Linked DNA regions of Struthio camelus. The protein of the gene in region 1 purifies or fractionates together with the protein of each later gene. This does not show direct contact. Links are inferred from orthologs where the notes say so. Each region holds a gene or a part of one and is shown on either strand. Other genes may lie near its edges.

What was found.
Region 2: the proteins of TGFBR1 (region 1) and MAP3K7 purify together in Homo sapiens (affinity purification with western blotting; 3 studies listed by BioGRID). This does not show direct contact. The link is inferred for Struthio camelus from reciprocal best matches to the Homo sapiens genes TGFBR1 and MAP3K7.
Region 3: the proteins of TGFBR1 (region 1) and ENG purify together in Homo sapiens (affinity purification with western blotting; 5 studies listed by BioGRID and IntAct, with this or other methods). This does not show direct contact. The link is inferred for Struthio camelus from reciprocal best matches to the Homo sapiens genes TGFBR1 and ENG.
Region 4: the proteins of TGFBR1 (region 1) and USP15 purify together in Homo sapiens (affinity purification with western blotting; 4 studies listed by BioGRID). This does not show direct contact. The link is inferred for Struthio camelus from reciprocal best matches to the Homo sapiens genes TGFBR1 and USP15.

Annotation. Positions count from the first base shown.
Region 1 is NC_090943.1:78,044,838-78,052,059, forward strand, and holds the start of TGFBR1 (TGF-beta receptor type-1), read right to left. Parts: upstream 3,016-7,222; 5' UTR 2,755-3,015; coding exon 2,679-2,754; intron 2,051-2,678; exon of another isoform or gene 1,518-2,050; intron 1-1,517. UniProt on the Homo sapiens protein: Transmembrane serine/threonine kinase forming with the TGF-beta type II serine/threonine kinase receptor, TGFBR2, the non-promiscuous receptor for the TGF-beta cytokines TGFB1, TGFB2 and TGFB3.
Region 2 is NC_090944.1:50,781,603-50,789,390, forward strand, and holds the start of MAP3K7 (mitogen-activated protein kinase kinase kinase 7), read right to left. Parts: upstream 3,012-7,788; 5' UTR 2,945-3,011; coding exon 2,855-2,944; intron 1-2,854. UniProt on the Homo sapiens protein: Serine/threonine kinase which acts as an essential component of the MAP kinase signal transduction pathway. Plays an important role in the cascades of cellular responses evoked by changes in the environment.
Region 3 is NC_090961.1:7,687,880-7,695,862, forward strand, and holds the start of ENG (endoglin), read right to left. Parts: upstream 3,003-7,983; coding exon 2,876-3,002; intron 1-2,875. Other genes in the region: AK1 (adenylate kinase isoenzyme 1), read right to left, coding at 5,424-5,489, 5,787-5,978, 6,119-6,235, 6,480-6,643, 7,008-7,043. UniProt on the Homo sapiens protein: Vascular endothelium glycoprotein that plays an important role in the regulation of angiogenesis. Required for normal structure and integrity of adult vasculature. Regulates the migration of vascular endothelial cells.
Region 4 is NC_090942.1:37,752,147-37,759,299, reverse strand, and holds the start of USP15 (ubiquitin carboxyl-terminal hydrolase 15), read right to left. Parts: upstream 3,014-7,153; 5' UTR 2,615-3,013; coding exon 2,526-2,614; intron 1-2,525. UniProt on the Homo sapiens protein: Hydrolase that removes conjugated ubiquitin from target proteins and regulates various pathways such as the TGF-beta receptor signaling, NF-kappa-B and RNF41/NRDP1-PRKN pathways.

The DNA.
Region 1 (7,222 bases):
CAATAAAACATTTGGAACGATCCTAGCTTAGAAAAAGTAATGTTATGTTCTTTGTAGTGTAGGTGCCGAATGGCACTATCTATTTTTGCAACTCAGAATTGTGCTCATGCCTCTACAGCAAAATACAATGTTAAAAATTTGTTTCTGGTGCTTTTCATGGAAGAGTATGTTTTAGAAAAACAAAAAAAAAGTTAGAATTAGAAACCTAGATCTTCCCCTTTGTTGTAATTTCACCATCTTTGTGAAAAAAGTAAAATGAAGAACTCTGTACTTTTAAATTGACTTAAGCATACAAATCAGGTTCACTCATTATCATAAATAAGAATGAATTGTGTGAACATATAGGATTTCCAGAGGGTGACCTCCCAGAATTTTGGCAAGATGAAAGACTATTTATGGTTCACAACAGTTAACCCCCCAACCCCTACACACACACGCGCAAAAATCACACTCTGCCTTAAAAGTTAGGGCTGGCTGACAGTAGTTCAACTAGCTGCTGTGATCTGCGACATTTCTGACCTCCACATTAGTGATATCATGAGAGGATTCATTCCTGCACTAATGCTAGCATCAGAAATTATCAGAAAACGCCCAACTTCTGTCAACCCACGATAAGAACACTAAGTAACAGTACACAAAGGATGTGTTGCACCACTACTTTGTCAACTTGGACCACAACGTTCAGGGAAAATAATCCCATTCCCAATTTCAGAGAACTTGTCTATGAGCTAAGGACTAAGGATCCCAGACTATAATAATGGGGATATTAAGAAGGCAGCGGGGGGGGGGGGGGGAAGAGCACCACACCCACACACCACTTCCATCCTTTAGCTTCTCTATGGAAAATTATTTTAGCCTTGGAAATCTGGTCTTGTTCCCAAATAAAACTCTTAGACACTGCTTTCATAACTGAAATTAAATGAAAATTCTCGATTGTTCAAAGGCATTAAACAGGAAAAGAAAGGCTCAGAGCTCAAATCAAGGTAAAGTTTCCCTCAATATCTAAATTTAATATTGAAAGCTTTAAATTATTGAAGGCTGATGCATCTTTTCAAGTGTATACACAGTAATTTAAGCTTACTTCACTGCTTCCATTTCAAAAATTCTCCATCTTCTTCAATAAGGATATGGGCGATTAATATGGTATTTTAGTATTGCAAGTTACATTTTGCCTTAGGTAACATTTTCTTTGCAGCACAATTACTAACTTAAAGTGAAACGTAAGCAGCATAGTAAGAACCAGATTGAGGCATGTCTTAAAGCTATAGTTGAAAAAAGTCAGAGTACATCTCCTTCTCCTCTTTAAAACCCAGAGCAATAGGCATGCCACCTATAGAAGAATTTGTAAGAGTGGCACTTGCTATAAAAAACAGCTTTTGTACATCTATTGGCATCATCTAATATATACAGAAGATGTTGAAACCTAAATCAGTTAAAGTAAGGCATTATGTATCATTTAAGTCTCATTACCACATATGACCCTACTGCTAAGTGAAGAACAAAATATGCTTTTTTTTAAAAAAATCACTTTAGTTTTTCATTCCTGAGTGTCATTAACAACCTCCGTTTCATGCGTTACCTATCCAACGGTACAGCTCTGATATCATCTCTCTCTTACAAGAGAGCAATAGGTGTGGAGTGGCCAGAGGGCCATAAGTATTTTATGCACGATACTCACTTAAGACCATTTCCCCGTGTTCTGGGCCTCTCGGAGCACAGCGGTCAGCTGTTCAACTACAACACCGAGATCACCTACCCAAATCGTCACCAGTTCTCAGAACTGGCACAGCGGCAGCACGCCACAAGGCGCGTTAGCTTCCCTAAAGCATCCAGCCCGGGACGTGGGAGAGCCTTTCCCCTGCCCTGCGCGGAGCGTTCAACACGTAGCTAGCTGCCCGCACTGCTCTCTCGGCGCCCTCCCCGCCGTACCGCCTGCGAGCGCCCGCTAACACGCCGCGAGGAGCCCGCCAGGCCCAGCAGCTTTCCCCTCGCCCGCTGAGGGAGCCACAGGCAGACAGAAGTTTTCCGAAGGAGACACCATCCCCAAGCGGTTAGTTTGTACAGTCTGCTCCGCTCCAGCCACAAAACAGCAGTGACCTCAAGGGAGGGAGGGGTGCGCTCCGCGCTACCTTGGCGGGCCACAGCGGCTCGCCCCCTGGGGGGGAAGGGGCGGCCGGGGTCCGCCACAGGGAGCGGAGCCAGCGCGGAAGCCGGCCGGGGTGGGGGGTGAGGGGGCAGGCTGTCCCGGGGAGACGCCGCTCGGGGCGCTGCTCTCCGCGGGGCAAGGCAGGCGCCGGCGCGGGGCAGAGGCTGCTCTCCCGAGGCCGCGGCGGGTGCCTCGTCCGTCCCTCGCCGCCCCCTCAGCGCGAACCGCCGCCGCCTCTCCTCGCCCCGCCGCATCACGTCTGCCCCGAGCCGCGGCCCCGCCCTCCCTCGGAGCCGCCGCTGCCCTCGGCCAACAAAGGGACGCGCCGTCCCCGGGCTCTGCCCGGCTCGGACACCGGGCGGGGTGGGGGGGGGGGGTGCAGAGGGGGCGACTCCGCCCCAACCGGCCCCTCCGCCATATTGTTGAAAGGAACCGACGGGGACCCGCAGACCACCGCCGCTCTCCGCCCCGCCGGCGCCACCTCCCGCGCTTCCCCCCTCCTCGGCCTCCCCGCGCGCACACATGCACTCACCGGCCGCCGCGGGGAAGAGCAGCGCGGCCACCAGGCACCGCAGGGCCCAGGGCCGCCGAGTGGCCGTTAACGCCATGGTCCGGTCCCGAACCCGCAGAGCGAGGGCGCGCGCGCGCGCGCACCCGCGCGCCAGGATTCCGCCTCGCGACTCCCGCCCCGCCCCGCCCCCCGCGACAGAAACGGAGAGAAGCGCGCGCACCGCCTGCACCTCCCCGCCTGGCCGCGGCCGCTCGTGCAACCGACACAGGGGCTCCGCCTGATTGGCCGCTCCCGACAGCCCCGCCCCGCCCCGCCCCGCCGGCAGCTGCCGGGCGCCCGAACAACAACAGCAGCCGAGGAGCGCGAGGGGCGGGGCGAGGGGCGGGGCCTGGGGCATTCCCCCCCCCTCTCCCCCGCGGCGGCCTGTGCGACACAGCGAGGATCCTGGCGTGGGGGAGGCCGGCGCCCCCCAGGCCCCACGGTTACCTTCACACATTCCCCCCCCTCCCCCGCACCTTTTTGGGTTTCGGGCGTGTGGCAGGGCCAGAGGACGGGCGCTCTGGCCCCCTGCCGCGGCCGGGTGGCCCACCCGCCCCGGGGTCCCCGCAGCCCCCTGCCTCCTTTACCAGGGCCTCAGCCAGAGGCCTGCGGGGCCCGCCTGCGCTTCGGGACTGCTTTTGTTGCTGGGCTTCCTTGCGCCGTGGCCCTCCAGTCGTAGGGCAGGTGACATGTCGCCCACAGGTGTTTTTTTTTTTTTTTTTCCACGTGTTACCTGCAAGTCACCCTTTTTGACGCATTTTCAGCAAGTTTTCGCAAGCTTCGCGCGCCGCCCCAGGAGTTCAGGCCTGGCCTCCACCGGACTGCGGCTTCCCAGTCCGCAGCGCCCAGGGCGGCTGCCACCGTCCTCCCCGGCGCTGCCTTTCGCCTCCTTGTCACGCTGATTTACCGGCTGTTTTATCTGCGGTTGTTTAGCTGACACAACCTTTATAAAAAGTCTCATTTCTCTTACATTCTCTCATCTGCATAAGGATCCTGTTAATATAACGGTTCAAAATGAGGTAAATATTTATTAATTCATTCTTTTCCACCTTCTCTCCTAGCAACCATCAGCATCGTATATGAACAGCCTCTAGTGACATTTTTTTTTTTTGCTGAGCAAAATACTATTTTACTTTAAATATCCTTAGCGACAGTTAGTATTAGACCAAACATCTGGATTTGATACAGATTCATGCCATAATTAAATATTGAAGTTGGCAATACCAAGTGAACACATTCTTAGTTATTCAGGTATAGAAATACGTAAAGGCCTAATCCTCAAGTGAAATGATATTCTAGCATCAGTAAGACAGTAAGATAGCATCCTGAACGATGTTTGGCTGCCAGACAAAGAAAGAATAAAGTAACTCGCAGGTGACAGCTCACCAGCCAAGATGGTTTCAAGTCTCTTGCAAGCAGTGAAAAGTGCCAGCACAAACTAAATACTTTTACCAGGCATCACCATTCTTTCAGAACAGAAGATCCCTATTGAAGAGACACCTACAGTTCTGCCATCCCTTATCCCGATCCCTGGGTGCATATCTGTGATCTTGGGAGCCAGGGTAAACTCAGGGCAAAAACAGCAACTGCAAAGGTCCTCGAAGAGCTTCTCGGGGCTCTTCTGGGAATCATGCCTTGCCTCACCTGCCGTACTTCTGCTCCATGCAGGACTGGAGGACTCTGTCTTTATGAGGGTCACGTGAGGGGTGCTTAGCATTGCCTTCTGTGTGGCGTAGTAGATTATGTTTGATAATCTGTTTGATAGTGAATCTGTCTTCTTTGCTATATAAGACAGAGCAGTTGGATGAAGAAAAAAAATGAAATACAAATGACAGCCTGAGAAGATTTAAGTCGTCAGCTTTTTCCCCCTGTATCTGCAAACAGTCGAATGCCGATCCACAGAAAATCAGGAGAACTTATGAACATACCTGGTTACATTCATCCTTAAATATGCTAGTTAGGCAGATGAGGCTAGCTCGTGTTTTAGATATTCACATAGCATACTCCTTGCGAAAATGGAACAATGAAAAAGTTTCAATCCAAAGGACAAAATAGTGAAGGCTGTGCTTGGGTGTCTCTTAAGACACTGGCTTACAGCAGATCTGAGGCAAAACTGACATTATGCTACAGAACTCAGATCCTCACCATGGCACCCTGCAAGTTGTGCTCAGCTCGGTTCCAACCTCAGACATTGCCATTACTAGCTTCTCATCAGCTTGAGCCTTTAATTAGGAAAAAAGGAGCTCCCAACATTCTGCTTACGATTAATGTACTTGGAGTTTCCTGCTCCCCTAGTGCTGGCCTTAACAATTGGACTTCCCAAATTCATTGCTTACCCCAGTTCAGTTTTCCTACAGACTGAAAAAGCTCATTCCCAAATTGAGAGGATAATTTAACACCCTTTCAACGTAAGGAAATCTGACACAGCAAACGGCCTCCAAGATATGCCCTTGTGTAAAATGATATTTTATTCAAGAAGAAAATAGCTCTTCTGCAATTTCATATTTTTCAAAACGACGGTAACTGCTTGGCCTTTTTCTGCCAAAATAACATGAAAAAGATTGATTTCACTGAACAAATTTTTCAAGTCTGATAGAAAGCAACTCCTCACCTTTGTGTATTTATGATACTTTAACCAGGTACAGTAAGTGTTTGTGCTGCAGCATTGTCTTGCAAGGGAATCCTTCAGACCACTTCTTGTCTACTTTAGCCCATCTTTGTTCTCCAGGTGCTTCCTGAGAATGGAAACAACGTTGTAATCAGTGGAAAGATATTAAGAAGAACAAGCAAGAAGCAGTCATATCACCTCGCCTTATTTATGTCATAATTCATTGAATTTCCCCCATTCTGGTTATAGAAAGGCGCAAAAAATTTCATCATTTGCTAATGCATAGAACACAATGCAAAAAAACATAGAAAATCCAAATTATCTGGCCTTATGAGATCTGTTTAGATCATTAAAAAAGACTGAGTCTATTTAAAAAAATATTTACTTTTTTGATTAGGTAGAGCGGGCTATTTTACAGGGAATATCTGCAGTTTAAACACAGGTTCATTACTAATTTCTGAACTGGAATATGGCATTTAGAGGCATTATATAAAATATGCAGCTCCCACAGGGAGGGAGATGAAAGAATTGAGGTTTGCTTAGTGCTAGCTTTATTTCTTGTAATAATTATTGTCAGTTTTTGAGTGGGTTTTATGATTGCTTTCTAGAAGATGGAAAGCAAAACACTGCAGACTGCATGGAGGGTTCAAACAAAACTCTGTAGTGCAAGAAAAACACCTACTAAGAAACTACATGGATCATTAAAGTATAACCAATTTTGCAAAGGGACAAATGATGAGATAGATAATTATACAAAACATAAAATTTTCTCATAAATTTTTAGTCTTCAATTAAGATCAAGGATATGAAATTCCTTGTTTTATATGCTGATTTACTTAAGAACACAGGCACTAATAAATAAAATCTCTCTTAGCTTTTAAAGTGAAAGATTATGGCCGTAAGGTAGGAAATATTATTAATGATGATCAGTAAAAGCTCTATTTGTGTTTCAATGTAAGAGATATTTAGGCTAATAAAGCAAAGAATTCTGAAAACATCTGAACAGTAATATAATGAAACTATCTTTCAGCGATAAATATGCACAGTTAGTCCTAGTGCAAGAGGAAGTACAAATATTGCAAAGCTGCATTTGTAGAATTCTTATCACAGTTTTCTCTCCGTGATAATAAGTGAAATTTTATGTGCTTTTTTAACTACTAGTCAGTGTATCATGATATTTACAAATTATGTTCATCAGGGAACTCGGCAAGAGAAAAATACCAAATGTGTCATTTACCAAACTAACAGAATACGTCATTTTCAAAAATAAAAATTTCAGGTGGTGCTTGATTTTGCTGATCAGTTTTACTCAAGTCAGGACAGAAGGGACTAAGGTGTTCATTATCATGCCTTTTCTACGAGCACACAAATCAGGAAGTTTAGCACAGATCTGTGATGCTACTAAATCATAAAAAGGCAAAAGAAAATAATTTGTTGAAGTCACTGGTTTATAAAATATCTAGAATTATTCAATTCATATCATTTATAAGCAGTGCCTGATTTACCTTATCAGTGCCTCAAAAACAAAATACAGGAGGATCTTAATTAACAGAAGGTCAGTTAAACCTTAAGTCATATGAAACCTTTTTCCTTTTAATTTATAGTCTGTGAAACACATCCGACAGAGGTATCTCAGAGGTATTAATTGGGCAGCCCAGCAATACGCCACCTCGCTGCGCAGCTGTTTGGTCCCTGCAGCTAACAAGCTCCTTATTCTACTGCTAAGAGGTTTGTGGATATATTAGTGTTGTAAGTTCTTAGTCTGCAATTAAGCAGATTGCTGTAATGACAGTTTTGCTCTGCAGCTATTAAACCTCTCAAACATAATCTTTCTTTCTAGCTTCTAGAGTCCATTAGCCTCAAAGCTTGTTTCCTACACATACAGCATTCAACCTCATTTGAAATCAGATATGAATGG
Region 2 (7,788 bases), on another chromosome or scaffold:
CCTCAGTTTCTAATGCTTTGTCTGTCTAATACACGAAAACCTAAAAGACGACATTCACGCAACCAAAAATTTGCATGGTACAGTGGGGAACGTTTCGCTGAACCCAAGTTTTAAGTTGTCTTTCCCCTTCTAGTTTTGAACATGCTCCCACTGTGTCACATAATTTTGATTTGACTCTGACTGATTGGTAATAATCATCTCTATGTTTTACTTCAACCTTTACTTTAAATAATGAAAAGGCAGCCTGAAGTTGGAGACATGCTTGACTTATAACTGTCCTGCAGTGCTACTTCCTGTATTATAGTCATGCACATGATAGCACAAACAGAATATGGTAGATTCATGATATTACCCAGCAGAGCTCAGCCAAACCAAAACGAAAGTGCACTTATGGATCTTAAATTTATTAGCAAGGACTCAGGGCCTGCAAGTATTCCAGAACTTCAATATCTATTAATAAACCAGTGGCAGAGTGGAACTGCTATCTGCTGACAAGACTGCTTTGATAATACAACAGCAAAGCTATGATTATACAAGCACTCATTTGAGTTTCCAGTATAGATCCGTTGACACTCCATTTTGAAATATCTAAGTGTCATAAAATATATTAAAATTTGGCCATTTTCAGTCCTTGCAGCCACTCAAAAATAAAATTTCTGGGTCTGCCGTAAGAGCAGAGCAAGTCCTCATTTACAACGTCTGGTAGGCCTGCAAAAGGCACGGCACGTAAGAGGTTAACACCCACAGTCAAGAAAAGCAAGGTACAGCACGGTTTCCAGTTCACCTGTTTTATTGCAAAGTAGATCTTATTTCCTCCTCCGTGCAATGACGTTTCGATTGCGTTCAGTACAATCATATCGCCATTGCCTGGTAAGAATTTCTGGTAGGGCAGGTACACAGAGCAAAATGGTGCAGCAGCTGCCAAATTTTCTCATGAAGTAAAACTTTATCGACAGCTCTCCAGCTTCTATTGCATAAGAGCGGCCATCTCCAGCAGAGAAGCTACTTTGAGGATAAAGCAACAATCTAATTAAAAAAACACAAATTATGGCTTGGGCACCAACTACACGTACGCTTTTGTGCATACGTTCCTGTCTCTGCGGGTGCTTGGTGGCCATGCAGGACACAGTCAAGTTCTGCACTGTGAAACCTTAGAACCTAAACCTTAGAATGATAAACTCTAGTTACACCAATTACACACTATGTGGCTCCACATTTCCTACAAGTAAAACGGCAATATAATCCTTGCTAACAGCCTTCCCAAGAGTGTTGTGAGGATTAAAAATTTGTATAGTGTTTCATTTGTTCAAAGTGCAATGTGTAACATATTATATGTGCTACTCACTTTTATGAGACATCCCTGGGCACCTTTTTATGATCTCTAAATTCCTATGAACTTTATTTTCTTCTTCAGGTAAAGCAAGCCATTTCTCCGAAAGTATGTGATGTGATCCTTGTGTATTGTTAAATGTTATACAAACGTCGGTATACCTCAAATGCAAAAATACTTTCAGTTCTGGAGCACCATAAAATTCTCTTGCTTCAAAGCAGTTAAATGCATACAGGGAAGAGGAACAGTTGGACCTACAGAGTTAAAAACCATCATGAATGCCATGTTTACACAACGGGGAAAAGGCACTCCTTTGGAAGAGAGTTTATTTTCTGAGGATTTCCCCTGTCTGCTGTGGCTAAAAACTGAAGTTACCACGACGGCATCTGAATAAAGCAGAAAGTACTCCAGCGTTCTACAGAAATACTACAAAGTCTATGTTCTGTGAACTCTTCAAGGCCGTGTGAGCACAACACAATAATTATAAACAATACAATACGTTGCAAACTGCTTCAATAATGTGGTTGTTGTACATCTAAATGCTACTGCACAAAGCTAAATTCACTTCCCCAGCAATGTTTTTTAAAAAGTGGAGGTTAATTATTGCTGAGGGAGACAAAGATGTTAACCTAAGAACAAAAGCACAAAGACTGTTTCAGCAGTCTTGGATGTTCGTTATGTCCACACTCTACAAGTCGAGCTCATCAAATTCAGTATGGGCCTGTGGGAAACAACTTTACTGCAGTGCAAACCTTGCTGTTGAGTTTTTCCTCACCTGGTAAGAATACCTTGTGAGGTAGACAAAGTTAATAAATACCGTGATGTATAGGTACAGAGCCCTTTAACAAAGCTGCAAGATACGCTCTGACCACCTCCATCCTACCCTCACAGGAAATCCAGACAGCCAAGAAGTACATTAGAAATGGTGTACTTTACTCATTCAACGCTAGCCTCAAAGAAACTTTCCACATAAGAGGAAGGAATACTTTCTTCAGACTCTGCTACACGACCACTGAATGCCACTTCCTGTGTAATATGTGCAGGTCACAAATGAAACGTTACAGACCCACCACTGCCACATCGCTAGCTTATATTTAAAAAAAAAAAAAAGCTATATGTCCTTTCACCTAACATAGCCTTAGATGCAGGAAAATAATTAACCGCAGTATGCTGGTTTTAGATCTATGACCGTTCCCGGTGCATGGCAGAAGGAAAAAGAAGGGGAGTACAAAAAGAGTGATTCAAAAGGGAAAAAAAAAAATCAGAATTAAACCCCCCCCCCCCCCGGTGACAACGGCGTTTGCTCCCATATTAAAGCCTCCTGAGTAAGTAAAACCCCACGTTACACCGCCTCGCCCCCGTGTCCCGCGTGGCCGAACTAAGGCTCCGCGGCACCTCCGCCCCTGGCAGCCCCTGCAGCATCGCCAGGAGAAGGAAAAACACCGGGCAGGTGGCTCGGTGGGTGGGTGAGCGGGGAGGCGCCGCGGCCGCCGGGCCGGGCCGGGCCGGGCCTCGCTCACTCACCTCTTCCACTTCGATCTCTTTGTAGTCGATTTCTTCGAAGTTGAGGACGGGCGGGGTTTCGATCATGTCCGCGGAGGCGGCAGAAGACATCCCTCCTGGCTCGGCCGCGGCAGGCCGGGCGCAGGCCGGCGGGCGCCGCGGCAGGGCAGGGCCGCGCCGCGGGGCTACACGGGGCGCCGCCGCGCCGGCGCCTCCCGCCCGCCCGCCCGCTGCTGGCCGAGGGCCGGGCCGGGCCGGGCCGGGCCGAGGCGCCTCCTGGGCCGCCGAGCGGGGCGAGGCCGCATCCGCGGCGGCCGCGGGCCTCAGCGGCGGCGGGCGGCGGCGGCCCCGCCGGCGGCAGCGGCGGCCCCGCTCCGCATCCCGCGCCGGCTGCTCTAGGCCGCGGCCTCTGCGAGTCGCCCGGGCTGCGCGTCCCCGGCGGCGGCGGCGGCGGCGGCGGCGGGCGGGGGTGGGGGAGCCGCTCAGCGCCGCGCCGCGGCCGACATCAGCGCCGCTTCCTGCTGCTGCTGCCGGCGGGCCGGGCCGGGCCGGGGCCGGGCCGGGGCGGGGCGGCGCTGCGGCAGCGGCTGCTACTCAGGCCGCCGCGGCGAGGGCCGTGGCCCGGCGGCAGCGACACCCACCTCGGCGCCGCTCCGCCCCGCCGAGGGCAGCAGCGCGCAGCGAGGCGGCCGCTTCGTCTTGCGGCCCTCGGCCGGCGGCGGAGCCGGGCCTCGGTCTTTGCCCCGCAGCGGTTGTTTTGGGAGCGGACGGGCCACCTTAAGGCCCTTCCCTTCCCTACCCCCCAGTGCCCGTGTCTGCTTGTGCGTTTGGCTTGGGCGACGCTTTCTGGGTCTTGGTGCTAAATGGGCCGGGGCTGGGTGTTTGGGGACAACCCGTGGTGCGAAGTCAGTGCTGGGGGGCAGTGGAGAGAGCCGCTGCGTTGCACTGAAACAGCTGCGCCGTCAGGCTTCCGTCCGATATGTTTAGCCCCAGTACTATATATAAAATGTTATGTTATTATAAAATACTATTAATAGTGTGTAATCTTAGTAGATCTGGTAAGCTTTCCCAAATCTTCCTGCACTAAAATGCTAATGAATGTTCATACCAAGTCTGGTAAACGAGAGAGAGCTGCTTTACGGAGCTGGCCTGAAGAAGTTGCGTCAGCAATGAACCAGGAGAAAGATCGAGGAGGAATACGGGCAGCAGCCTCGCGTCGTGGTGGTTCGGGTGTTGCTAGAAAAGCTAAACTAAAAGCCCTTTTCGCCAGAGCTACTGCTTTTTTTTTTTTTTTTTTTTTGTGATAGCTTGTCCTTTTGGGTTGTCTGCTGCCCGCTTGCCTTTTTCTTGCATCCTAAGTAATTTGACCAGGATTTCCAAACGTCTAGCAATCCAGAAATCCCAGACAAACAGTCACGGTGCATATGCCAGCCGACTCTGCATCGCATGCAAGATGAGACTAGTCTCCAGAACAGGTTGGATCAGCGTGATTACGTTGTGCAACTGATCTGTGTGTGCATGGGAGCAGACTCGTGTCCTGAACGTACTGAATTCCTCTTGCTTTTTGATTTTTCGTATGTTGTTCAGTGTAGAAAGATTTAAAGAGGCTTCTGTTAGAAATGGGAAAGTTCCGCGTAACCCAAAATCTCCTTAATACATGCTTGCTCCAGGAATGCGACTATCCAGGGGCCTTAGTTTCTAAGAGGTTGCATTTAATTTAGATATTGATGTTGGCCATGGCTTTCGCCCAAATACGTAGTCTCTGGATTATTCAGAATGAACATTTGCTATACCCAAGTGTACAGTTGAATTTCGTGGCCGTGAAAGTCACCGTTAGTGCACATCGTGGCCATACCATGACATGGAATCACAAGTGGCCAGGTTTGTACCTGGACCTGAGGACTTCAGGGTATTTCCTTCTTAAAGGAAAAGCACATCACTGTTGTATAATCTGCTGCCACTGTTTCAGGTGCTGAGGAAACAATATATTTGTTTTTAGATCACGAATATAGATTTGTGAGGTACTGGGAAACTGTAGGTCAGATTGAAAACAGATTCCTAACATTTAGACCTAGTTAGTTCCTAATGTTAGTTCCTAATTAGTTCCTAACATTTTCAGGCTTTTTTTTAGATTTAGGCACGTATGTTATATACTGGGGAAGGTGAAGAACGTTAATGTTTTTTGGAAAGATGGCTAGTAGTAGTGGTACTTTTGGTGGCAGGTGGTGTTCTCTAGTAAAATTAACTGAACATTTGGCTTTATGTTATGTTTCACAGGCCTCTTGAAGACATATATCAAGCAAGTGGCGGTTGCTGTCTTCTATATTTTAGTGGTGCTATTAACAGTGGTGCTGTTACCTGTATTTTGTTGTTGTTGATAAGAATTAAGAGCACAGAGGAGAGCATTCCAATTATAGTTGTTTGTAAGGTTCATTTCCTTTCAGGAATTGATGTAGAAATGTATCTCAAAAATAATGAGTTCTCTCTCTAGCGAAAGCAAAATCATTGCCATTATCAAAATGTCACTGTTGTGAAGATCAGATAGGGTTTCAAGGATGTTGCCGTTTTTATGGTTACTTCTTTTTCTTTTCTGACTGACACAATCTTAATTAGCTGTGTGTTGGGTCTGAGGACTAGGTATAATTTGAACGCTCCCAAAATAGAACATTTTAAATATGTATTCAAAAAACACATTTGAGAGGTAAAGGAAAACAAAAACACTCCAACTGCATCCCTTACAATCTGTGTTTATGTGGGAGAAAAGCTGCTCTTGTGTTTGGAAGAAAAACCTAGAACTTAGGAAGTCCAGATTCTATTTCTCAACTGCATATCACTAACTGAAAATAAATTACATTACAAGGAAGTTAAGGACTAAAAGATTCTGTGAAGTCTCAGGATACTATGGTCAGAGCAGAAGTAAATGCTCAAGACTGAAATAACTGCAGCAGATATTTTGACAGCTCCTGTCATCGTGGACCAGGTTTAAGAACTATATTTTTCAGAAGATATGCAGTAGGTCTCCTAAAAAATATAAAGTAAGTCTACATGGCCAGCTTAATGGACCTGAGGCTTAGCCTTAACATCTGAGTATCTTATCTAAAATTTAAACAAAGTTTACAGAATCTTGCAGCTTAGTGTTCGGTCACATTTTCATGAGGAGAAACACATCTGTATTTTCATGGCTACCCGCTGTCAGGTTTCATGTTCCAGCTCTGTTAAAATTTCCACGTTATAGATTTTTTTTTTTTTTTAAGAAGAGCAAACTAGCATGTTTTGTGCTAACGTAATTTAGCAAAACAGCTAAGTAATTTCTGCTTTCAAAAGATTTCACCTTGTGTCAGACATGTAGCGTACACAATTTTTGTTCAGTTGGTTAAAACATCTAAGTTTAGGCAACAGAAAAATGATCCTGGAACGCAGTAGTGGAAGGTGTTGGGTGGTCTCAACAGCGGGCATACCTGTAATGAGATAGGTTCCGTTTTGATAACATTTTTAACTTCAGGCACAGGAATAGTTCATGTTTCTGGCAAGACTGACTTTATTTTCTTTCTCAAATATTGTCATGTAAATGTTAGAGATAAATGAAACTGAAATATGGAAGCTATGTCATTTCAGTTCATGGGAATCAAGTGTGATTAAAGACCTTTACAACAGCTGTAGATGTGATTGTGAGTTATTAGCCTTGTCTCACCTGTGTGTTGGAAAGTGTCAGGATGCACGCTATACAAAGAAAATCTGCAGGAGTTAACGGGGGGGGGGGGAATTAGCCTGGATGACTGGAGTGACAAGGACTGGTGGATGAACTGTGTTGTGCATTGCCTTGTGAGTATGAGGCCACAGCATGTCTCTGGTGATGACAAATAAATGGCACACCATAAAGCATGTGTGCCGTACAAAACCAATCGGGAGAGACCTGAAAGAAGCACACTTCTTGTTCCAGTCCAGGTGCAGTGTAAGGATCTCACGAGGACAGATCACTCTGATGACACTAAAAGTTCTTCTGTTGTTCAGCATGGTGGTGTTCTTAGCTAATCCACTCTCCTCATGTAGTCTCTTCAGCTCTTATGTTAGGATTTCTCAGGAGCAGGTTGCAACATTTTGTGCGTGTCAAATTTGACTATGAATCTTAATCGTATCACCAATTCTGCCTTGCTTTACTGCATTGCAAACTGTTGCAAAGCAGCACAGAGGTATTTTGTGCTGAATCCATGGAGATAGCATCCACAATACGCTTCATATTTTCTTATTCCTTCTTTTCCTTTCTGAGGAAGCTTCCCCACACTCTGTAAAATTTTCTAAAAAGCTGTGAGTTTCTTCAAATTCCTTCAGTTGAGGTATGCTTATCGTTTACCACAAAATGTAACTATTGAAAAACACCAAAGCCTTGCAAAGTAAATGCATGGACTGCTTTGCTAAATACCAAATATTACTGTATGCAAGGAACTATATGCACTTAAGAGGAAGCTCTTTCGTGTGAAAGTTACTGGCACTCAGATGGTCACAGGTTTTTCTGAACCTTGCTTGGTCTCTTACTCTGAGGCATGTTAGATCTCTCAAAGTTTTCCAGCAGCTTAAAACCCCAAGAGAGTACAGCCATTGTGCAGGAAGGGCAAAGTAAAGGTGAAAGATGATCTAGATGCGGTCGCAAAACTAAATTCAGAATTTTCCCCAGTTGCAGCTGGCAACAGGCAGCAACTGGAATGGGCTGACTGACTGAGTGGTTAATGGGAAAAAGATATGCTAACTGATTAAAGAATTTAACACACACAGACAGAAGGGAGAGCCAGACAGCAGCAGACTAGCTGATTGTCACCTGAGAGTTTGGAAAGACGTGATTTGCGAATGTTCCAGCAGGAAATATTTTAAAGAAAGGCAAAAATGTTATCAGGTAACTCTAAAAGAGCAAAAATATTTAAGAAAGGTGCAAAGTGATTGAGGCATCTACATACGTGCTG
Region 3 (7,983 bases), on another chromosome or scaffold:
TGTATGGCTCTGTTATGTAGCATAGGCACTTGTATGGCCCAGCTGCATAGGATAGGGACTGCATGGCACAGCCACATAGGACAGGGCCCATATGGCAAAGCTACGTAGGACAGGGTCAGTAGGCACAGCTATGTAGGATGGGGCACGACTACATAGGGACTACAGGGACTGCATGGCCCAGCTACCTAGGACAGTGACCGCACAGCGCAGCTACATAGGACAGGGACCACACGGCACAGCTACGTAGGACAAGGACCATATGGCCCCACTATGTAGGACAGGGACTGCATGGCCCAGCTACGTAGGACAGAGACCATATGGCACAGCTACATAGCACAGGGACCACACGGCACAGCTACATAGGACAAGGACCATATGGCCCCACTATGTAGGACAGGGACTGCATGGCCCAGCTACGTAGGACAGAGACCATATGGCACAGCTACATAGCACAGGGACCACACGGCACAGCTACATAGGACAAGGACCGTATGGCCCAGCTATGTAGGACAAGGACTGTATGGCCCAGCTACGTAGGACAGGGACCATACGGAACAGCTACATAGGACAAGGACCGTACGGCCCAGCTACATAGGACAGGGACCATACGGAACAGCTACATAGGACAAGGACCGTACGGCCCAGCTACATAGGACAGGGACCATACGGAACAGCTACATAGGACAAGGACCGTACGGCCCAGCTACATAGGACAGGGACCATACGGAACAGCTACATAGGACAAGGACCGTACGGCCCAGCTACATAGGACAGGGACTGTATGGCCCAGCTATGTAGGACAGGGACCACACGGCACAGCTACGTAGGACAAGGACCATATGGCCCAGCTATGTACGACAGGGACCATATGGCACAGCTACGTAGGACAAGGATCGTATGGCCCAGCTACGTAGGACAGGGACCATATGGCACAGCTACATAGGACAAGGACCGTATGGCCCAGCTACATAGGACAGTGACCATGAGCACAGCTACATAGGACAGGGACCACACGGCACAGCTACGTAGGACAGGGACCGTATGGCCCAGCTACGTAGGACAAGGACTGTATGGCCCTGCTACGTAGGACAGGGACCACACAGCACAGCTACATAGGACAGGGACCACATGGCCCAGCTACATAGGACAGGGACTGCATGGCCCAGCTACGTAGGACAGGGACTGCATGGCCCAGCTACGTAGGACAGGGACTGCATGGCCCAGCTACATAGGACAAGGACTGTATGGCCCAGCTACATAGGACAAGGACCACACAGCCCAGCTACGTAGGACAGGAACTGCATGGCCCAGCTACGTAGGACAAGGATCATATGGCACAGATACATAGGACAGGGACCGTATGGCCCAGCTATGTAGGACAGGGACCACACAGCACAGCTACATAGGACAGGGACCACACGGCACAGCTACGTAGGACAAGGACTGTATGGCCCAGCTATGTAGGACAGGGACTACACGGCACAGATACGTAGGACAAGGACCGTATGGCCCAGCTATGTACGACAAGGACCGTATGGCCCAGCTATGTAGGACAGGGACCACACGGCACAGCTACGTAGGACAAGGACTGTATGGCCCTGCTAGGTAGGACAGGGACCATATGGCACAGCCACGTAGGACAAGGACTTTACAGCAGAACTACATAGGATGGGGTTGCATGGCACAGCTACGTATGGTGGGGCCCGTGCGGCACAGCTACGTGGGACAGGGGCCGTATGGCCCTGCTATGGGCCGACAATTGGCCCTTCCTGGGGCTTGCAGCCGGCAGGGACAGCGGGCTGAGCAGGGCAGCGGGGATGTCACAGCCGGGGCCCGACCCCAGCCCGGCGCCCGGCCCCCCGAGGGAGCTCGCCGTGCCGGGGACGCTGCTCCCGCCGGCCCCGGCTGCTGCTCCCTTCCCACCGCCGGCCCCGCACTCCCTGCCCGCCGGCGGGGGCACTGCCACCCCGTCCCCCGCCCCGCGCCGCCACCGGGGTCGTGGGACCGGGGCGCACCGCGGGGGGCTTTGGCTCTGCCCCAGCCGCTTGCTAAGAGGGCGGAAAAGCCCCCAGCCCTACGGCCGCCTGCAACCACGGGGGTTTCCAGATCACTCCTCCTCCCTCGGCTCCCGCTTTCGGCGCCCGCCTTGCGGTGCCGGGCAGGTCACGAAGGCGCCCCGGTGCCTCCGCGCTCGGCGAGGCGGCTGCGGCGGCGGCGGCACCTCGACGCCCGCCGACGCAGCCCGCGCCTGGGCGCCGTCTCCCCTCCCGGGTCTCCCGGGGCCGGCAGCTCCCCCGCGGCAGGGCCAGCACGAATTTGCAGCCGGAGCGGGGTTTATTTTTCCTAGCGTGACGAAACGCAGCTGGGACGTGGCCCGAGCGTCGCCGTTCGCCGGCGAGGCGGAGCGGCGAGGGCGGCTTCCCGGGTTGCCATTCCCCGTTTCGCCGCGGCCCTGCGGTGGGGACAGGGGGCCGGGGGGGCCGGGGGGCACCGCGCTGGCCGCTTTCTGCCTGCCTCCCTCCTATTCCCGGCGTGGTACAGCGCCGTTTCCGCCGCGCGACTCCGGCTCTCGGCGGCACAGATTTCCCGAGCAGTCCCCGAAACGCCGGGACCTCGCGGAGGCCCTGCTCGCCCGCGACCTCGCACCCACCGCGGGGTGGGGTGGGGTGGGGTGGGGTGGGGGGGTATGGGCCGAATCGGCCCGGTGGCGGCGGGGGGGGTGCGAGGGGGCATGGGGGGGTTGGCCGGGAGCGCCCCCAGCCAAGCCACCCCGGCGGCAGCACCCCAGGGAAGCGGGGTGGGGGGTTCCCGAGGACACACTGGGGCAGGCGACGGCGGGCGGCAGCACCCCGGCCCGGCCCGCGGCAGCACTCACCGGCGCGGCCGGGCGCGCAGCGCAGCAGCAGCAGCAGCAGCAGCGGCGGCAGCAGCGGCAGCAGCGGCGGCGGCGGCAGCGGCGGCGGCGGCGGCAGCGGGGCGACGCGGCGCCTCGGGGCGCCCATGCTGCCTGCCCGGGCGCTGCGCTGCCCTTAGCCCGTGTCCGGAGGGGCCGAGGGCTGGCCGGCGGGGCTCGGCGGCGGGCCGGGGAGGCGCAGGCGGAGGCAGCCGGGCAGCTTTCGCCGCTCCAGCCTCGACGGCGCCCGGTGGCGGCGGTGGCGGGCCGGGGCCGGCGGTGGGGCCGGGCCGCGCCGGGGAAGCCGCGGCAGCGCCCGAGTGTGCGAGCCCGGCGCCGCGCTCGGGCTGATGACCTGCGGCGGCAGGAAATCAACTCCCTTTAGAGGAGGGTCCGCCGAGCCGAGCGCCTGCCAAGAGCGGGGAGGAAATGCCGCTTCGCAGCGGCCTGGAGCCTTGCCGGGAGGTCGGGGAGGGCCGGCGGGCAGCCGAGGGCTGCGCTGCCCCCGGGGGTGCTGCCCCGCCGGATGCGCTGGCTGTCTCCTATGGATTTTGGGGTGGGAGGGGGTGTGTTGCCCGATGGGACCCCCCTCCCCCCAACCCCAGCCGGGGGGGGGCCCAAGCGCCGTGCCTCAGTTTCCCCATACTTGCGGGTGCTGGTGCGGGGCAGCGCTGAGCGGCTGCGAGGACCCCGGGGCACCCGGCGAGACCCCCCCGGGGACCTCCGAGCGCGGCCGGCTCTGCAGACGGGCAGGGGCACCCACCTGCCTGGCAGGATGCTCCCCCCCCCCCCCCCCAAAATGCAGCCCCACATGCAGCTCAGGGCCGGCCTGGGGGCTCGGGCAGGATGGGGACTGTCACCACCCCACTCCCCATGCGCCTGGCGAGGAGGGGGACGGTGCTGGGCAGCCAGGCTTGAGCCCCTCCGGAGCTGCCCCCCGACGAGGGACCCGGTGCAGCCCCTGCTTCGCTCCATCCCCAGCCGCCCCTCTGGGAGATGGACGGCAAGGCCTGTCCCGGCCTGGCGGGATGTCCCCTGGGACGTGTCCCCGACGGTGAGGTGAGCAGGCAGATGTCTCCCGTGACAGAGCACTGCCATCTCCTGGGGACCGCGGGGACGGGTGCTCAGCCGGGGCCGGTGACCAGCCGAAGGCTGCTGGGGCCGGGGTGCCTGCTGCCCCCTCTCCCGGCCCCAGCGCCCGGCAGCTCCATCCCCGCTCGCTCACTTGGGAAACTGAGGCACGCTCGCGCCTGGCCCGAGGCCACAAAAACGGGATGGAGGCGCAAGGGAGAGGGGTCGCTCCCCATGGCCCAGCCTGCGGTGGGCCCCCCCTCAAACCCCCTTGCTCGTGGTGGCCCTGTGGCCGTCCCCGTTTCGAGCCAGGCTCCTTCGCCCCCCCGGCCGCTGTACGAGCCTGACGGGGCTCGTTTTTAACTTTATGACTTTTATTTTTTTTTGCCCCCCCACTCGTTTCCTTCCTCGACACCGTCTCAGCAGCTTCGGCTGCCTCCAAACAGCCTCCTTTCTCCTGACCTTCGCTTTGCTCGTCGCCTGATTTACAGCAGCCCGAAAGCGAGCGGTGCCAGGGGCAGGCCGAGGTCACGGCTCTGCCGCCTCCTGCCCTCGCCGTAACCTGGCAGGCAGCAGCCCCGCGCCGCGTCCGGGAAAACCGCCTGCCGGCAGAGCATCCGGGCAAACCCCCTGGCCCCGGAGCCCTGCTGCAGCCGCGCCACCGGCATTGCACCCTGATGCGGCCGACAGCCCGCGACCGAAACGCCCCCTCCGTCTCCCACGTCGGCCCCCCCCGAACTCTCTCCGTGGGTCAGGGCACCCAGAGCACAGCCCCGGTTCCCCTAAAAAGCTCCCGACAGCACGATGCAAGGGAGTGTCGAGGCCGAGGCGCGGGCTGGAGCCAGCAGTGTTGAAAGTGGTGGAAATCCCCGTCCCCGTCCCCGGGAGCAGCGGGGTGGAGGGGGGGCTGGCACACGCTGGGGCACCCGGGACGCCCGGCCACAGCCCGTGGCATTGGCCTGAACCTGGCTCCCTCAGCCCCGGCAGCGGGACGGGTCTCGGCGAGGGGGTTTGGCTGCAAGGAGGCGGCCGCGGGCCCCCCGCAGCCCCGGGGCTCGGCCGATGCAGCCGGGATGCTCCCCTCCCTTCCTCCGAGCGCAGCATCCCGCTCCCCCCGGCCGCGATGCCACCGGGCGGGATAAACAGCCCGTTTCCTGCCCTTAATCAGCCTCAGAAAGGGGTGTGCGGAGGGAAGGGGGGGGGATAAAAAAATTTCTGGAAAGAAAAACTCATTTCCTGCGGCAGAAGAAAAAAGATAAAGTCTGGGCTCATTAAAGTGAACTTTACTGGGGAGAGACGGGAAAGAGCCAAACACAATGTCCTTGAAATTTCCTCCGCGCGGCTCTGTCCACGAAAACAGGATAAAGCCGCTTCCGCTGTCTCTGCCGCGGAGCCGGAGTGCGTGCGCGTGTGGGGCGGCGGGCCGGGCCGGCGCGGCGAGCCTGGCCCCGGGGCTCGCCTACAGGGCGTCCAGGTGGGAGCAGACCTGCTGGAAAACCTCCTCCACGGTGCCCTCGGCGTTGAGCTGCGCGAGCGGGACAGCAGTGTCAGGCTCGGGGACGCCTCGGCGCCCGGCCCCCCGGGAGCCTCCCACGGAGGAGGTGGCTCTTTTGGGGACACATTTCAGCTTAGGGACAGCTAGGGCATAGTTAAGGCAACGGGGCGGCACGGACATCTCCCGAAGGATGTCTTGGCGCCGGGATGCTGCTGGCCCTGGTCAAGGGGCACATGGCAGTGGGGGACCACCTAAAGGAGGTGGGGAGCCCAGCTGTGGGGTGACGAGGGGTCCCGTCCCCGCCACGGCACCCCGGGCCCCGCTCACCTGGCGGACGATGCCCCTGCTCTTGTAGAAGGCGATGACGGGTTCCGTGGCCTTGTAGTACGTCTCCAGGCGCTTCTTGATGGTCTCCTCATTGTCATCCACCCGGCCGCTGGTCTCGCCCCGCTTCAGCAACCGCTTGACCATCGTCTCCTTCCCCGCGTCCACGTAGAGCAGCAGCGTCGGGGCGGCGATCTACGGGCGGGGAGGACGCAGCTGTCACCAGGGGAGGCGGCTGGGATGTGGGCATGGATGTCCCCAGCCTGTCCTGCATCTCCCTCCGCGCGGGTCTGCGGTGGTGTCTCCGCAAGCAGGGCCCGTCCCCAGCCCCTCACCTTCTTCTCGAACTCCTGTCCTTGCTTCACCTCGCGGGGGTAGCCGTCGATCAGGAAGCCCTTGGACACATCCGCTTTGGCCACCATGGCGTCCCGCAGCATGTCCAGCACCGTCTCCTGGGAGCCGGGGAGGAGGGGACAAGAGGTGAGGGGGTGATGTATCCGCTCCCCATCACCCGGCACCCCCTGATCCCGGCTGCTAGCCCAGGGCTCTGGGGTGGCGGGGGACCAAGGCCTCCCCTGGACACATGCTGACCATCACCGGCATCACCACGGTCCCCCCTGACCAGCACTCCCACCACCAGTGCCCGCCCCTGCGGTTCGGGGTGTCCCGGCGGGCTCCTCCGGCGCGCAGGCTCACCAGGGGCACCAGCTCGCCTTTCTCCATGATGGCCTTCAGCTTCTTGCCCCGCTCGGAGCCGGAGCTGACCTCAGCGCGCAGCAGGTCTCCGGTGGAGAGGTGGGTGTATCCATACTTCTGCACGATCTTCTCGCACTGGGTCCCCTTCCCTGAGCCGGGGCCGCCTGCAAGTCACAGCAGGGCCCCGTTCACATCCCAGCCCAGGGGGAAAGAGCTGGGGGGGGGGCCCAAAAAGCACTGCAGACCCACAGGGAGCATCTGGCAGCCAGTGAGATGAGGTCCCCAAGCCCCACACTGGCACCCGGAGTGTCCCCACCCCATGGCGTCCCAGCCGCTGTCACCCCGAGGAGCCGAGCTGGGAGTGCTGCAGCTGCCCCGGAGGCAGCCGGTGGTTTCTACAGGTCCCAAATTTTCAAGCACGTCCTGCAAAGCCGGCTGCTCCCCTGGGCCCCGAAATTGCCCCGGCGAGGCGCGGGAGAATGGGGCTCTGCAGTCGGCCTCGCTCCCCGCAGCGGCCGACTTACTTACCCACCACGAAGATGATTTTGTGATGCTTGAGTTTTTCTGGGGGAAAAGAAAATAGAAAAAACCAGACTCAGCCAAGCAGAAGCCTGGACGGCGGCGAGTGAGCTGCTGAACCCCCCGGCAGGCGCCCCCCGGCATGGTGGGGCCGGCCCCAACCCGCCGTGGGAGAAAGCGCGGCGGGAAGCACCCGCGCGCCCCTCTCGTCCCCGTCACCTCGGCCAGCCTGAGCAGCCGAGCTGCCCAAGCACGAGCACGCGGCCCCCATGGCACCCGGCCTGCGGCCCCGGCCCCGGCGGCGCTCCCGGCGGCCGAGCCGAGGTGGAATCCCGCCGGCGCCGGGGCGCGCGGTGCCCTGGAGATGGTTGCCGGTGGCGGCTTCGTGCCAAGGGCTTTCCGAGGCCGCCCTGCCCGGGGCTGCGGCCCGCTCGGCTCGGCACGGCACGGCACGAGCTGGCACGCTGCCTCCAGCGCCTCCCTGATCCCTGAGTGTCCTAAAAATTGGCCTGCGGGCCTGGTGGCGCATACGTGGATGGGGACGGGATGGGGAGCACTAACAGCCCTGCCCCTGCTGCTGGAGCACCCCACTGGCACAGCATCCCACTGCCAGAGCAGCCCACCACCAGAGCAGCCCACTGCTGGAGTCCCCCACCGCTGGAGCACCACACCGCCAGAGCACCTCAATGCTGGAACACCCCGCCGCCAGAACACCCCACCGCCGGAACACCCCACTGCCGGAACATCCCACCGCCGGAACACCCCACCGCCAGAACACCCCACCGCCGGAACATCCCACCGCCGGAACACCCCACCGCCGGAACACCCCACCGCCGGAACATCCCACCGCCGGAACACCCCACCGCCGGAGCAGCCCACCAATGGAGCACCACTGGAGCACCCCACCACCACAGCATCCCACCACTGGAGCAGCCCACTGCCGGAGTCCCCAACCACTGGAGTTCTCCACCGCCGGCGTCCCCCA
Region 4 (7,153 bases), on another chromosome or scaffold:
AAAGGCCAGTATGGTTTATAATGTTGAATTCACTAGTACTAGTAAGGTTGTGCCCTGGAAAAGCTTAATTTTGATGTTTAATTAACATACCTGTTTAGAAGAAAAAGGGTGAGATGGAAGAATCCTCAGTCTCTCCTACTTCAACCTTTTAATTTATTAACTGTCTATAACAATAGGAGTTTAAAAATGCAGTAAAGGCCACTCCAGATGAACTAGCCCAAAATCTTGTCTCCGAGGACAAAATAGTCAAAGGACACTCACCTTGCCCATCCATTGGGGCAATACTTTTTCATCTCTACTACGCCCAAGCTATTCTTACAAACACCCTATGAAACAAATTCTGCAGCTTAATCAATTGTACAACTGTTTCACTATTCTACCAATTCTTAGCTAACATCTAACTTTAAAAATGTTGCATTTAAAGTTAGCTTCATTTCCTGCTCTCTGCAGCGAACGTGAAGAACTAATGAAGAGTTCATTGTCCTCATTACAGATAATAAACGATTTGCCTCTCTTTGTCCTATTCTTCGGTTTTCTCTTTTACTAATGGAAAACCCCAAAGCTTGATACTTTCTTTATATAGCTTATTGCTTTCCTCTAAACTCTAAATTCTGAATAACTGAGACAAAACTTTCAGTACAAGCTGCTAATCTTAGAAGGATTGTATTTTACATACAGTGCTTTAAGGCCCAATCAAAACAAGCTGCTCATTGAATTGTTATATATCATTGTTCACATTCTTTTTCAGCAATACTAACTACTGAATGAATGAAACTGCAATTTTGAATCATGACTTACAGTGCTTTAACTATTACATTTCCTTATTGACCCCATCCCCTCAAAATCAAAAAGCTATTACCAAAACATCTCTGAATAACATATCTGGACTAAATATATTCTTCAACTTGTGAAATCTTAAATACATAGCTCTAAGTACTACCCTACGAATGAACATGTACACACATTTTTGTTTCTAGATTTACTAGGGGAAGAGTCAAAGTTATTAAGACTTTATCATAGCTTTTTCAGCCTTAAAACATCCAATTAATATTAGAATATGAGATTAATATTAGACAACAATCACAGCTAAATATACTTAATACAAATATACTAAATATACTTAATTGGGGAAATAAGCTTCCAAACGAGTATATTTGATTTTTACATATGTTAAAATGTTTAATGTACTAAAAATGTAGCTCAAGAAACCTACTGTTTTTAGTCGTTATGTAAACAGTCATAAAGTTATTTTCATTTTGAATAATATTAACCATTTGAGAAATCTTTCAGTACTTGGAAAGTACCCAACAGACTCATAAAAGAAAAATCTCTTAAAATAAAACATTTCAAGTCCAAGCAGCCTTGTACTACCACTGGTCATTTTCAACATCACCATGTGAATTGATTTCCTTTTTCTAGTTGCTTATACTTCTCAGTTTAAGAGCAGCCTGTTCTTATGCCAAAAAGTGAACGTATACTCGGCAGTACTTGAATAATGCATCAGAATATATGTATGGCTCTGACACATGCTGCAGTATCAACACTGTTAAATATAGTCTTTTATAGAACTGGAACAGTGAGTGATGACAGCTGAAATGAGGTGGGCAAGTTCTACTTTTGTGTATTTGTAACTTAATTTTCTGTAAGTTTGTGTTTTAGCCTTTGTATTTAGGTGATCATTTCACAAGGGAAAAGATGAAGAGGTTGAGCGGTGGAAAAAACATCAGTTCCTTTTTCTGTTGTCTTAAAAAAAAAAAAATTGCTTCCTAGCCTCAAAGAACTCAATCACAGAAGCTCAATTAACCAAGCACATCTAGAAAGAGATGCTCGTTTAACCTGCCTAATGCTTTTCAACCACGGATTATTCTGTTGGCAATCCGCATGGCATACTAAGAAATATTTTGTCACTGGTCAAAAAAACATATATTTTTAGATGCTTGCTGCAGAACACGCGTTCCTAGGGGCCTGGCGGCACCTTCGGGGAAGGCTTCTTTTATGCAGTTAACACGGCCACAGTGAAAATGAAGTTTCCAATTGAGGCCTACCGCAGCCGAGCACGGGCTTCACCGCGACACCCCTACGCTATAGATATGATTCTTGGCAACTCGGAAGGTGACGCCAGAGCCGTTTCCTCCCTTTAGCCTGGCGGACGGCAGAACCGCCCGGCAGCGGAGCGCTCCTCCCGCCGCCTTTCTCCCCGCGAGGCCGAGCAGGCGCCCCGCGGCCCCCGGGCCCCTCATTGTCCTCGGCCGCCATCCGGCTCCGGCACCGCCGCTCCCTGCTCTTCCCTCCCCCGCCGCTCGGCGCCGCCAAGGAGCCGACCTCGGCGCCTGCCCCCGGCCGGGAGGGAGGTGCTGCCCCCTCCTTCCCCCCGCCCTGTCATCCGCCTCCCACGGAGCACGCAGGAGGCCGGGCCGCGGCCAGCGCGGAGGGAAGGAGGTCGGTCCCTCCGCCAGTCCGGCGGCACCGGGGGCGGAGGGAGCCGCCCGCGTCCATCCATTCGGGTCCCCCGGCCCTTCCCTCACCAGGTGTCGCCCTTGCGGAGGGCGGTTTTGAGCAGCGCCGCGATGTCCGTGCGCTGGGTCTCCAGATCCGCCGCGCCTCCCTCCGCCATCTTCTCCCCCCGGCAGCAGCAGCAGCAGCGGCGGCGGCGGCAGCGGCAGCAGCAGGGGCAGGAGCGGGCCGCGCTGCATGCTGGGAGTGACGCCGACCAGGGAGACGCCCTCGCCCCCCCCTCCCTTCCCACAATCCGCAGGGCGGGGAGCCGAACCCGCCGCAGCCGCTGCTGCCGCGGCCTTTGCTGCCCCCCTAGCGGCCGGGAGGTCTCTCATGTCACCGCGCGGCAAGCAGCGCGCATGCGCGCAGCCTCCCCCCCCCCTCTCTCTCTCTGTCTCTCTCCCTCCCCCCCCCGCCGCAGGGTGGCAGGGGGCGTGGGGAGCCAGGGCGCTCGGCGGGACGGGGCCGCTGCCGGCTCCCGCCGCTTCTGTCCTCTCAGGCAGGTCCTCCTCGGAGCGGAGGGGAGGGGAGCCCGGGGCCGTGGGACGATGACTCAGCACGGCTATAGCCTGACGGGAGGGGGGAGGGGAACGACCCCGACCGAAAGCCTGGCTCCCTGCCTGGCGTTGAGCCCTGCCCGCTCGCCCGGCCCCGCCCCCTCCGCCCGGCTCCCCCGCAGGCCCCACCCCCTCCGCCCTGTACCCCCGGGCCCCGCCCCCTCCGCCCGGCTCCCCCGCAGGCCCCGCCCCCTCCGCCCGGCTCCCCCGCAGGCCCCGCCCCCTCCGCCCGGTTCCCCCGCGGGCCCCGCCCCCTCCGCCCGGTTCCCCGCAGGCCCCGCCCCCTCCGCTCGGCTCTCCCGCAGGCCCCGCCCCTCGGCGCTGCCCCGCGGGGCTTGCGCGGGCGCGGGGCGTCCGCTTGGTGCCGCAGTGGTGCTGGTGCAGCAGCGTGCTGGTTGTGGCGTCCGCGTCCTTCCCGTTCCCGTTTCAGCCTTGGGAGACCATATTTCAAAATGGGTCTGAAGGAGGGTTTTGGTGGAGACCATACTTTTGGAAGGAAGAACTAGTGTGACGCTTCCTGTTAGCGTTTTAATTTAAACAGAGATATAATGAGATGTTGGACACCTAGCTAGCAAATGAGTGATTTGGATTCCGCCAATGATACAGTCTCTATTATTGTGCAAACACTGTTGGGAGTGTAAATATGCTGTGTGACATGCATGAATATTCCCAAACCTGTACAGAAACCAAGGGATAATTTACTGGGTCTGTTTCCGTCTTGCCAAAACCTGATGCTTGTACAAGCAGCGCAACGGGACATACGATATCCGACCAAAAGCTGCGTGAGTCCATGGGTTACATCACATTAGCAGAATTCTCCCCTTTCTACCTTCCTACTTGTATACAGATTTCACCAAATCAAAATTGTATAGAAGACTGTGCTGGGGGGGTGGCAAGTGCTGATTGCAAACAGCGGAAAACAAAATTTGATTTTGTAGATCTATCTGGTATATCTATAAAACATGCAATTGTATGTCCAGCCCCTTCCTCCACCCAAATCATTACACTGTGCTGAATTGTATGACTAACACTAGAAAGGTATCATAGGCTGCCACTCATATTATAAGCTATTAGGCATTATTAGCTATTAGCTAATTGTCACTAATGAGCTAATAGCATGTAGTTGTTATAAATAGCACTGAAGATTATTCTTTAGATACAGATACATCAAAAAAGAGAATAGAATTAAGGCTATTAAATGCAGCCAGGAGAGTACCAAACTAAGTAAATTGCCTGCATTATCAGCAAAGACGATGATGTTGAAATAAAGGCAAAGCCAGGATTTGTATTTGGAAAGGGCACATGGAAGTCATGTCCAAAGTAGAAGAAGAGCTCCTAAGAGCTTGGAGGGGCCAGCCGATCACATTCATAGCTTCTGTAAGCATGGAATATGCAATCCCAGGCTGAGGGGCAAGCGAGTCAAAGATATCTGTTATGTGGAGAGTTGTATTATATGGAGAACTGTGGATCTGCTGGCTATGCTTAATGAGACGGAAGAGTGAACCGGGCAATGACAAGAAGGTTTCCAGCCATTGAATGAATAAATGTCAGGGTTAGAACCTCACAACGTGGGAGGAAGAATTTGTGAGCCCCCTCCCCCCCCCTCGCCCCCCATCCAGTCTTGACAACTAAAACCAGTATTATAAACAGTGAAAATCATCCGTATGTACCAATGTTAAATTTTTGCAAAAATTGCATTTTCTTGGAAAATTGGAGGAAAACATTTCTTGATTCACTATGCTGGAAAACAGCTTTATTGTTCAGTAGTCTGTAATAAGACCAAGAGCCACTTGGCTCTTGGAGCCACGTGTGCCTCTACTTTTTGGGTTTCATGATTGCAGTTACTAGGTGAAAGATCTCCTGTTCCTGAATTCAGTTTGTTCATGGTTCAGAAACAGATACTAGACAGATACTAGGTATTAAAGGAACTAGACAGAAAGGAGTATAATGTGCTATCTGAATCAGAGCTTTGCTTAAGGATTGTAAAGGAGAGACAAGAATAACTAAGTCTCCTTCTGGGATTGTCAGTGCTTCACAAGAAGTAGCTATGCCTTTCACACTAAAACAGCATATAATCTTCCTAAGCTTCAGGAAACCTTTCCGCTATGCAAAATTCTTGAAAACTGCCAGAGAGTGTTAAATCTGTATTTTTAGTAAAGCTTTCTGAGTTTCCAAGTACATCTACCCTAGAGAGTGCCTGGGGATCTTTGCATTTTAAACCACTGGATACACTGAAACAGCACTGATACTGATGAACTGCCTCCTGCCTTCTCTGATGAAAAACAAGCTTTTGTGATATAGATTTACATCTTACTAATTTTGATATAATTGAATTCAGGATACTGTTAATCTAGGCGAGAAACGTGGCTGACTTTCCAGTAATCATTGGGCCTGCATTGTTACCTGATTTCATTGCTATCTGATGAATACTTGTAAACATGTTGCATTGTTTTTCTAAACATTGATCCTAAAAAAAAGGGAAACAATTAATCCAATATGTAGCTGCTCAGACATTCGGCAAACGGGCTTCAGATAACAAACCATGTAAGCTGAGGAGTCTATTGATTCCCAATACAGCACAAAGTTTACGCTCTCCGTTCTTGTCTTCAAGTCAGTTAGTGGACTCGGATAAAGAAACTTACGGCTTCTTCTTTTGGGATATGAGCATCTCTGCTTCTCACTGGGAAAGCTTGTGTACGCAGTAGATTCTGTGGAAGTGACCGACAACTGTAAGTCTCACCTCGGAGGTACTGTAGACCAATTTACTTCTCCACTTTTTTCTTTTCTTCCTAAACCTCCTACAGCGTAGTTGTGAGTTTATGGAGGAGAAAAATAGGGTTTCAGGTTCCCTTCCCCAAAGGCCTGGCAAACACCCCGGCCCTATGGTAGGGTTACAGCTAGCGTGGCTCTGTGAATTTCCTATTCAGTTTGAAGCTGAGTCAGACATGAAGCCCGACATACCAGCATGAATACAGATGGATACATGTTTTACATATAGCATTCACACATATAGGCAAGAAAACACTGGTAATTTCACTTTTGGGTGACAAATCTGATGGAAACTCTTTTAAAGCTAATCTTACTAGCTTAATGTGTTTTTACATGTTTAAAGGGGAGTGAAAGATTATCAATTATCAGTTCCCACCGTTGCTCTTTTTGTTCCATGTCTTACTTTTTTGGGATGTATGGGAGTTGCCTTAAAATAATGATAAAATTATAAGCTTCTTTGAAGTAGTTCAATAACAAAACAAGAAAGCAGAAATCACAAGAGACTGGAGTTATATAATGGGAAGATACAGCAGGGCACTTACAAGGCAAACTTAGACATGGGAACAAAAAATCAGTACTTATGAAACCTGCGGAAATCCACGGTAGCATGGATGGACCGATGGTAAGAAGCAGATGAGAATATGCTTTTTTTTTTTTTAAGGAATAAAGAAGAGTGGGATAAATTTGAAAGACAGAATGTGGGGAAATAATTTGTAATTAAGATACCCATTTCTGTCCAGACAGTAAAACCAAGACTGCATTCTAGTTTTTGAATAGTATTTATCCTAATCCACTCTATGCTTGGTTAATGCTTTCCTAATTCACATAGGCTGAATGCAACAATGCTAAATCCTTGTATGAGTTAGGTGGAATTGCAATTTCTAGCTGTTATTGCAATAGCACACTATCTTTCCTTGAGACAAGAAAATGCCCCCAGATTTTAAAATTTGATAGTTCTTTATTTAGTTGATTTACTCAAACTATTACTTTCTTACCACGTTTTCAGTAGCTATTATTACCAAAAGGATTTTTTCAAATGAGAGAACAAGGGTTTAGACTGATGGAGATGTGACTATTATTTTTTTAATTCATGTAACATGGAGTATTCAGTCTTATCTTCATGCACTTAATCTAGTACCATAGCATCCTTAGAAGAATTAAATTGGAAAGTTCGTAGATGAGAATATAGGGGAATGAAGATAAAGAAAAGTCCAGTGGGACCAACTAAGGGTGTCCCAGAAGTTTTTCTGATATAATGACAGTAGAAGAAACACTAGTATTTTCCCATTATTCTAGTTCAGAATTTTTAAATAGTGGGAAGTATTCTTTTT